Caenorhabditis elegans: one gene and its partner. The protein of the gene in region 1 interacts with the protein of each later gene in a pairwise test. Each region holds a gene or a part of one and is shown in the gene's direction. Other genes may lie near its edges.

Region 1 (3,509 bases):
GTAACATTTCAAAAAAATTATCCGTAGACAGGCATGTGAATAGGCAAGATGCGCGAAAACCTACCCCTTACTTCAAAATCTCATCCGGTTCCAGCATTGAAGTTTTCTTCAGGTTCCAAGTGAACCTCACTGCTCTCGGCATATCTTCCTGATCAGTCGTCTCCAGCGCAAACCCAAACCGCTGACGAATAGCAGCCAAAGTTTCAGACGCTTGCTGCCATTGGAATGCTCCAACATTTTCATCACACTCTTCAATAGGTTCCATCATTTTTTACTGAAATTGTACATATTTTTAAAATTAATAAAAAATCGCAAATTTATTACCCGGAAAAAAAAGAGTGAAAAGAGGGTCAATCAATTTTCTCTAAACAGAGATTAGCAACGCCAGAACAAATAAAATTGAAGTTCATTTCCAAGATAGCACACAAAAAATATGAACATTATTGATAAGTAGAAATGGCGAAATTTATTTTTCGTGGCACTACTTCATAGCAAAAACTAAATTAAAAGCACCTTTGCAAGAAAATGAATTCTTGATGACGTTGTGAAAGAAACACGATCATCAGATCAAACTAAACAAACTTTACTCAAAAAATAGTTTCTCATGCGTGGACACCGTCTGCTCTGTGATCACACGATTTGATGACAAAAACATAATATACAATATTTTGAATAACTCTCTTTCGTTCTTTAAGCTTTGGAAAATGCAAATTAACTGGATTCACCATTATGCTTCTAAAATAAGTGGCTCGTGCTCTTTTGTCATCAATTTATTAGGTATCTATATTGCTCATGACGACAGAAAAACTCATCTGGGTAATTATAGAATTTTATTAATTTTTCTCAATTTACAATATTTTATCTTCCCTGATCGACTTGTTGGTGCAAATGGTAAGGAGTTCGGCTTTGCAGTCCTATAAATTTGTTATTTCAGTCTTCTTTGGACCATAAATATGCATTTTCATATTTTATTACGGATGGAATTTTCGAAAAGGTAGTCTTTAGTATGCGACATTTTGCTGACTCATTGTGATTATTTTTTAAATGTTGGTTTTCTTGAAAAATAGTTACACAAAAAATCCAAAGTAAAATAACTCTAGTGGATGTTTTAAAAAAGTTCAAAATCTGAATATTATAAGAGCAGTGTACATAACATGTGCGCTGAAAATTTCTACAATTTTTTGACCCTCTGCAAATTTTTAAAAATTGATTTTAGCCTAACTTTAGACACTGTACAGCTACTTTTTTTTTCAGAAATCAAATTTCGGAACAATTGCATTATGCCTGAGAGGAAGCTTCATATTTTCTACATATCCGATTTTACATGCACATTTTTGTATCGTTATATGGTTCTTTTTAGGTACCTCTCACCAGAAAAACGTTGTATTTACATTTTTATTCTCAGAAGCTCCTTCCTTTCTTTCTATTTCATTCCTTATGGTATAATATGTTCAGTTTCGTATTGCTTAGCTATCATAGGTTTTACATTTACGGTTGGAAATTTAATTTTTTGATACAATAATTTCTATGTATTTTTCAGATGTCTTATTTCTGGATGGTGGCAGATACTGAGCGGTTAACATATATGCACGAAATTTTTTTTAACACTTCCTCACTTCTCTCTATCTCTCCTCCCTTCTTTCAATTCCTCAACCTCTCATTCTCAAGTTGTGTACACTGTTCCTATCAACACAAATTTCAACATTTAAGCGTAGCAATGTAAGGTTTTTAGTTTAAAAAGCAACGGAGGCATTAAGCATTCAGCTCACTTTTCAGTTCTTATCAATTTGAAAATGAAAAAAATATTTTCGTCTCTTTTCTGCTGAAAGTAACTTTCGAATTTTTTTGTCTTCTTGAGTTGACTCTTCGACTCTTGACTGTATTTCAAATTTTCCAGATTACACAAAGAAATCGAACATTTTAAAAATGTCAGACGCCGACAGCCAGAAACAAATCAAGCTCATCTCGTCTGATGATAAAACTTTCACGGTATTTTTTTAAAAACTATAATTTCCGTTAACTAAATTATAAAATGTAATTTTATAGGTCTCACGAAAAGTGATCAGCCAATCCAAGACCATATCTGGATTCACTTCTGAAGACACGATTCCACTTCCAAAAGTGACTTCTGCGATCCTTGAGAAGATTATCACCTGGTGCGAGCATCACGCCGACGATGAGCCAAAGAAAGTCGAAAAGATAGAAAAAGGAAATAAAAAGACGGTAGAAATTAGTGAATGGGACGCCGAGTTCATGAAAGTCGACCAGGGGACTTTGTTCGAAATCATCTTGGTAAATATTTAAGCTTTAGAACTTTTAATCTCTCTTCCAGAATGAAAAATAAAACCAATTTCCTTTGTCCAGGCAGCCAACTACCTCGACATCCGTGGGCTTTTGGAAGTGACCACCCAGAATGTGGCTAACATGATGAAGGGTAAAACTCCAAGCCAAGTCCGAACCCTGTTCAAAATTGACAACTTCTCCGAGGAGGAACTGGAGGCCATGAAGAAGGGGAACGCTTGGTGCGAGGATTAAGCTCCCGGTTAAACATAATTAACTTAAAATTTATCTGATTCGGTTTACATACCTCTTTTATGTCACTTAAAACAAATCAAAAATTATTTTAAACAAAACAACTTTGTTTGTCAAGTACGCTTTGCATTGCATCCAACAGAAAATAAAATTTGAATAAATGTATAACGCCTGTATTTTGTGGTTTGTAGTTTGTGCATGAATTCTCAATTTGCAACAAAAGTATCTTTGGCGGTCAAATTTGCAGCCAACTACGTTTTTGACTTGAAAAAAAAGTGAAAAAAATTAGGTTTTGGTTGAAAATTGGAAGTTAACTCTTTGCTCTTTTTGGAATTATTTTAACTGATCGAGAAGAAAATTGTTTGAAAAAATTGGTTGTATGGGTGAATCTGGAGAAAAATTAGGAAAGAAATTTGGGTTTAAACATTTGTTTTGAAATGAAGCAGTTGTAAATTTTATGAAAATCTCTAAGACAAGGCCAAAACCTAAGCCTAGTGAGCAAAATGGGGCAATATGTTCATATAACAGCATCAGAGAAATAGTCACAATTTAAAGAAAACTAATCACAATCTCACAAGTTTTGAGATCTAGGAGAGATTCAAGCTGTCTAGTAGAATAGGACTTAAGCTCGCCGAGAAGAAAGATAAGTCTGCCGGATTTCGACTTTGAAGACTCCGAGTGCAACTGATTGAGAAGGCCGATACAGATATCAAGTTGACGATCAAATTTGAGGTCTGCACCATTATTGGCTGAAAATCGGAATTGAAGAAAACTAAGAAGCTTCACTGTTAAACTGACTTTCCGTGAAAATCATGATTCCCTTCAAAAGGAAATAATCCTGCGCCGAAACTTTGAGGACATTGAATTTTTCAGCCAGTTGCGCAAATTTTTCATCGATGAAGATTTTTTCGGCGTTTTCAAACAATGCGAGGCACAAAAGATGTGGCCACTTGGTCAAGATGATCTGACTCTGGAAA
Region 2 (5,048 bases), on another chromosome or scaffold:
TTGCAAAAAAATTTTAAATTCTCGCCAAATTGGCAAATTGCCAAAAAAAAGGAAATTCTTGCCAATTTGCCAAAAAAGGAAATTCTCGCCAAATTGGCAAATTGCAAAAAAAATTTAAATTCTCGCCAAATTGGCAAATTGCCAAAAAATTTGCCAATTTGGCAAGAGTTTTATATTTTGATCATATTACCAAATTGGCAAAAAATGTAGTTTTTGGCAAATTGGCAATAATTTCCTTTTTGGCATAGTGCCAATTTGGCAATTAGGTAAGCTTTTTTTTGCAATCTGCAAATTTGTCAAGAATTTTAATTTTCGCCATTTTGCCGGATTGGCGGAAATGTAATTTTTGGCAAGAATTTCTTTTTTCTGGCAAATTGGCAATTATTCATTATTTGAAATTGCCAATTTGGCTAGGATTTTCATTTTTTGGCAATCTGCCAATTTGGTGGAATCTAGAATTTTTGCCATATTACCAAATTGACGGACTTTCCATTTTTGGCATTGTGCCAAGTTGATAAGAATTTCCTTTTTTTTGCACTTTGCCAATTAGGCAAGAATTTGAATTTTTGGCAATTCGCCAATTTGGCGAGAATTTTAATTTTTGGCCATCTGCCAATTTGGCATGAGGTATAAATTTTGACAAGTTGCCAATTTGGGATAAGTTTTATTTTGGGAGTTGGGCAATTAGAGGAGAATTTCAATTTTTGGCAATTTTCTAATTTGGCAAAAAATTTTCAACAGCGTTTTATGGGCAAAAACAATTAAAACTGAATTTTTAGAAAGTTAAAATAATTCCAACAACAATAATTCTTGTTAATTAAATTTTTCGGTTGTGACAACGTCATCACAAAACATTCTAAACCAATTTAAAGATATTGAGTCCTAAGAAGCTAAAACTTCAAAAATAAATTATATTTTCAGCATAGTTACACCGAAAACACACCGAAAAGAAGAGAGAAAATGCGTTTATGGTCAGCGAGCGGCAAGAGACAAAAAACGAACGTAGAAGGAGAAGATGGGCAACACACAAAAATGTGACACATTTAGAGAGAGAGAGAGAGATAGAGAGAAAAACAAAAGACGCGAGCGGAATACACAAAAATGGGTGCAAAACGGGTGTATGAATAAATAATGGGCAAATATTGGAACAAAACGGAGGGTTTTGTCGGGAATAAAAGGAATATTTCAATAGCTCATAGTTAAAAATTTCAAGATTTTCACAAAAATGAATGTCAAACTTTAAAATTAGTATGGGACTTATTACTGTTGTGATTTTTGATGAGATGAGTTCAATTCTACCAAAAGGACACAATTTTCATTTTTGGTTTTCAGTACAGATAAATTATTATTTTTGAAACATTTCACTAAATCCGGGCCTTCATATTTCACTCAAAATTAACATTTTTCAGAATGTTTTTACAGAAACTTGTTTCAAATTTTGAGCTCTTTTTTAATTATATAACGAAATTCAGCTTTTTTTTGTTGCTATAATGCTATTTTTCTAGGTAGGGCACTTTTTTGCTCAATATGATTATAACCAATGTGCAAGAATTTCCAAAAATATTTAAAATGGTAGCATTTTGAAAAAAAATACTTTTTTGGGGCTTTTGAAATGTATATCGTAGAAACAGAGACGGTCATACATTTGTCTAAAAGATGAAAAAATCTGCTATTTTTTTAGGTAAGACACTTTTTTGCTACATGATAATAACCAATGTGCAAGAATTTCCAAAAATATTAAAAATGGTAGCATTTTGAAAAAAATACTTTTTTGGGTTTTTTGAAATGAATATCGTAGCTACAGAGACGGCCATACATTTTTCTAAAAGAACAAAAAATCTGCTATTTTTTTTAGGTAGGACACTTTTTTGCTAGATGAACATAACTACTATAAAATTTTTTTAATGGTGGTAGCATTTTGTTGCTCTTATGGTGCAAAACGACCAAACATTTAATTTTTTTAAAGTTTGTCCCCAATTTAATGAAAAGAATACGGTATTCTACCGGTCGATGCGACTCTTATCATTCTACTTCCAATTTCTCACTTGTTCTGTGCTGCTGTCTCTCCCCTCTCATATTTTTCATCTCTCTTGTCTATTTCTCTTTTCCATCTCCACTGCTTCCCCTCTTTCCATTTTCCCGCATTTTCATTGATTTTCCGTCCAATTCTAGAGTTTTTAAAGTTAAAAAGGTCCAGTAAAATGCCTGCCATCCTGGAAACCAACCCAATTGCTATTCGAGCTTGCATTCTCTACGAGGTCCGCCAAAAGCGGCCAATTTTCGAGTCTTTCAAGAATTTTTGCAATGCGTTTGGAAATGATTTTATGGAATATCGAGAATTTGAGCGCTGGTTTTATCGATTTTATCATGGAAACGAGGATTTGGATTATGATATGAGGTAAGTGTAAAGATAAGTTCTAAAATGTAATTTATTAGAAAGAAATTCAGCCGGGAACCAAAAACAGCATCGCTATCCGAGTTGCCAATTGAAATATTGTTCAAAATTGTGGAAAACTTGAATTTTCTGGACAGGTTAGTTTTAAAAAATGTTTTTCTTTGAAAATGTATGTTTTTTGGACGTGGGGATTTTTAAAAAAATATTCTTAAAATTAAGCAAAAAATATATGCATGATCAGAAGTGGGCGGCAATTACCGTTCGGCAATTTTTTTTTGTCGACAAATTTGGCAAATCGGCAAATTTCCGGTATGCCGATTTGTTACCAGAAATTTTCAATTCCGGCATCTTGCCGATTTTTCAGAAATTTTCAATTCCGGCAACTTGCCGATTTGCCGGAAATTCTCAATTCCGGCAATTTGTCGATTTGCCGGAAATTTTTAATTCCGCCAACTTGCCGATTTGCCGGAAATTTTCAATTCCGGCAACTTGCCGATTTGCCAGAAATTTTCATTTTCGGCAACTTGCCGATTTGCCAGAAATTTTCATTTTCGGCAACTTGCCGATTTGCCAGAAATTTTCAATTCCAGCAACTTGCCGATTTGCCGGAAATTCTGAATTCCGCCAACTTGCCGATTTGCCGGAAATTCTCAATTCCGACAATTTGTCGATTTGCCGGAAATTTTTAATTCCGGCATATATGAAAACTTTAAAATTAACAAAAAAATAAAAAGTTTTACTATGAAACTTATAAAGTAATTTCAATACTAGTATCTGAAAATTTAAATTAGGTCTTCCATAAGGTCAGGCAGGCAGGCGTTAAAACTCCTGCCGGCCTGACCTTAAGGTGACCCACGCCTGCCTCTCGCCTCAAAACGCGCCTTATGCTTCATTTCATAATTGGAAAATGGACAAATTAATAGAAATGACAAAATTTGAAGTTTGAAGATTCACATAAAATGTAGAAAATTTTCAGACAGGCGTGAGGCCCTGAAGCCGGGCCTGCCTTGAAAGCCCTACTTTAAATATTTCAAATAACACTTCCAAAAATTCAAAATTCCAGACTTCTCCTCCGCAACGTCTCGCCATGCTTCCGCAGCATCGCCGAGGATCACGTCAACGAGGTCACCAACATCTCAGTGACTTCTATTCCAAACCACGTACATGTATGCTTCTATCATGAAAGTGACTATACAGATATTATATGTAAACGTGTGGATGATGATTGTGTAATTACTAAAATGTCGCAATACGAGGATTCAAAGGATTGGAAAATTGAAGGAGTTTCTCATGTGACTGTTGCATTGAACTATCTGTCTAGGGTATTGAAGAGCCCGAAGTTGAAGCTGGAAAAGTTAAGACTGGACTTTTTGGAGCATAATAAAGAGGATACCCAGTGTATGGAAGAATTATTAACTGTGCTTGAAAATTCCGAACCCCATGTTCTGAACATTGAATTCGAAGGACTAAACTTCCACGAAACATCTAGTGTTCTCAAAAACCTGAAAAATGTTGAAGAGATACAACTATCAATGTACAGTATACAAGAGTTGTCTGGAATTGAGAAGCTCGTTGAGCTGGAGCAATGGAAGACAGCAAAGACACTTGATATATCGAGTCATGAAGACATTGAGATGGATATTAAAGATTTGCTGCACTTTCAATCAATTGATGTTCGTCTGAAATCGTTTTCAGTTCAGGATGCGGTTAAGGTTAAGGAGGTGAAATACTGGAAAATGTTTGACCCTAAATTAAATTTTATTCTGATTTTCAGACCCTCGAACTCCGCACCTCTGACTTCAGATCAGGAACGTTCAGAGTCCTTAACACAGATACTCGAAAAATCGGAAAAGTATTCAACCCAAAATATACAGACGCTGCTAACAACACATTCAACTTCAAGACTAAAAATTCCTCATTTGAAATAACTATGTGTTCCAAGGAAATTTATGTTAAACGGAAGCTATAAAAGGAGTCTAGCAGTCATAATTCCACGCTTATTTATATATCTTGTTGCCATAAATTGAGTTTAGATACTTTTCAGAAATAAAGTTTTATTAATGAAATATAATACTGTGCGCCCAACTTCCCCCTTAATTTTTCCGTTTTACCACATTCTGAAATTTTTTTGAAAAAATGGCTAATGCCATTCGATTCCAAATGTCAAAAACCCCGTGTCCACAATTTTTATGAAAATACATGGGCAACTACAGAAATTAGATCAAAAAATCATTTAAAAAAAAACCATAAATGTAATTGCAAAAGAAGAGTGTTTCAGATTCAAAATTGTGATAATAACATTATTTATAAGCATTCTATTCATATTTGAATGTTTTTGAAAAAATTGAAAAATTGAAGAAAAGAGAAGTTCGTCTCGATATAGTGCTATTTTTAGGATGTTTGAAAGTCCGCTGTGAGCTTGCTTCTAGAGTATCGCCGCTAAAAATTATCGAATGACTAGGTCTCATATGCAAGCCCAATTGGCCCTTTCTGACGAGCCCCTTGTTAGTTGAGCTTTTATGTTAATATTTCGTTTATTCGCACGTTGTTGTTAAATGAGTTGTATGAGTTGTTAAAGTTAACGTAAAACAAGGTTTCTTCGCTGAAAAGTGGCTGGTTGTTAAATAAAGTAGGTTTAAATTACACAAAATTT

The links.
Region 2: the proteins of skr-4 (region 1) and fbxa-167 interact in a two-hybrid assay, tested with the Caenorhabditis elegans proteins (one study listed by BioGRID).

What each region holds. Positions count from the first base shown.
Region 1 is NC_003283.11:19,922,327-19,925,835, forward strand, and holds skr-4 (Skp1-related protein), read left to right. Parts: upstream 1-1,897; 5' UTR 1,898-1,926; coding exon 1,927-1,989; intron 1,990-2,046; coding exon 2,047-2,292; intron 2,293-2,364; coding exon 2,365-2,535; 3' UTR 2,536-2,707; downstream 2,708-3,509. Other genes in the region: Y60A3A.16 (non-specific serine/threonine protein kinase), read right to left, coding at 72-268.
Region 2 is NC_003280.10:13,639,361-13,644,408, forward strand, and holds fbxa-167 (F-box domain-containing protein), read left to right. Parts: upstream 1-2,128; 5' UTR 2,129-2,201; coding exon 2,202-2,398; intron 2,399-2,448; coding exon 2,449-2,532; intron 2,533-3,458; coding exon 3,459-4,116; intron 4,117-4,169; coding exon 4,170-4,364; 3' UTR 4,365-4,463; downstream 4,464-5,048.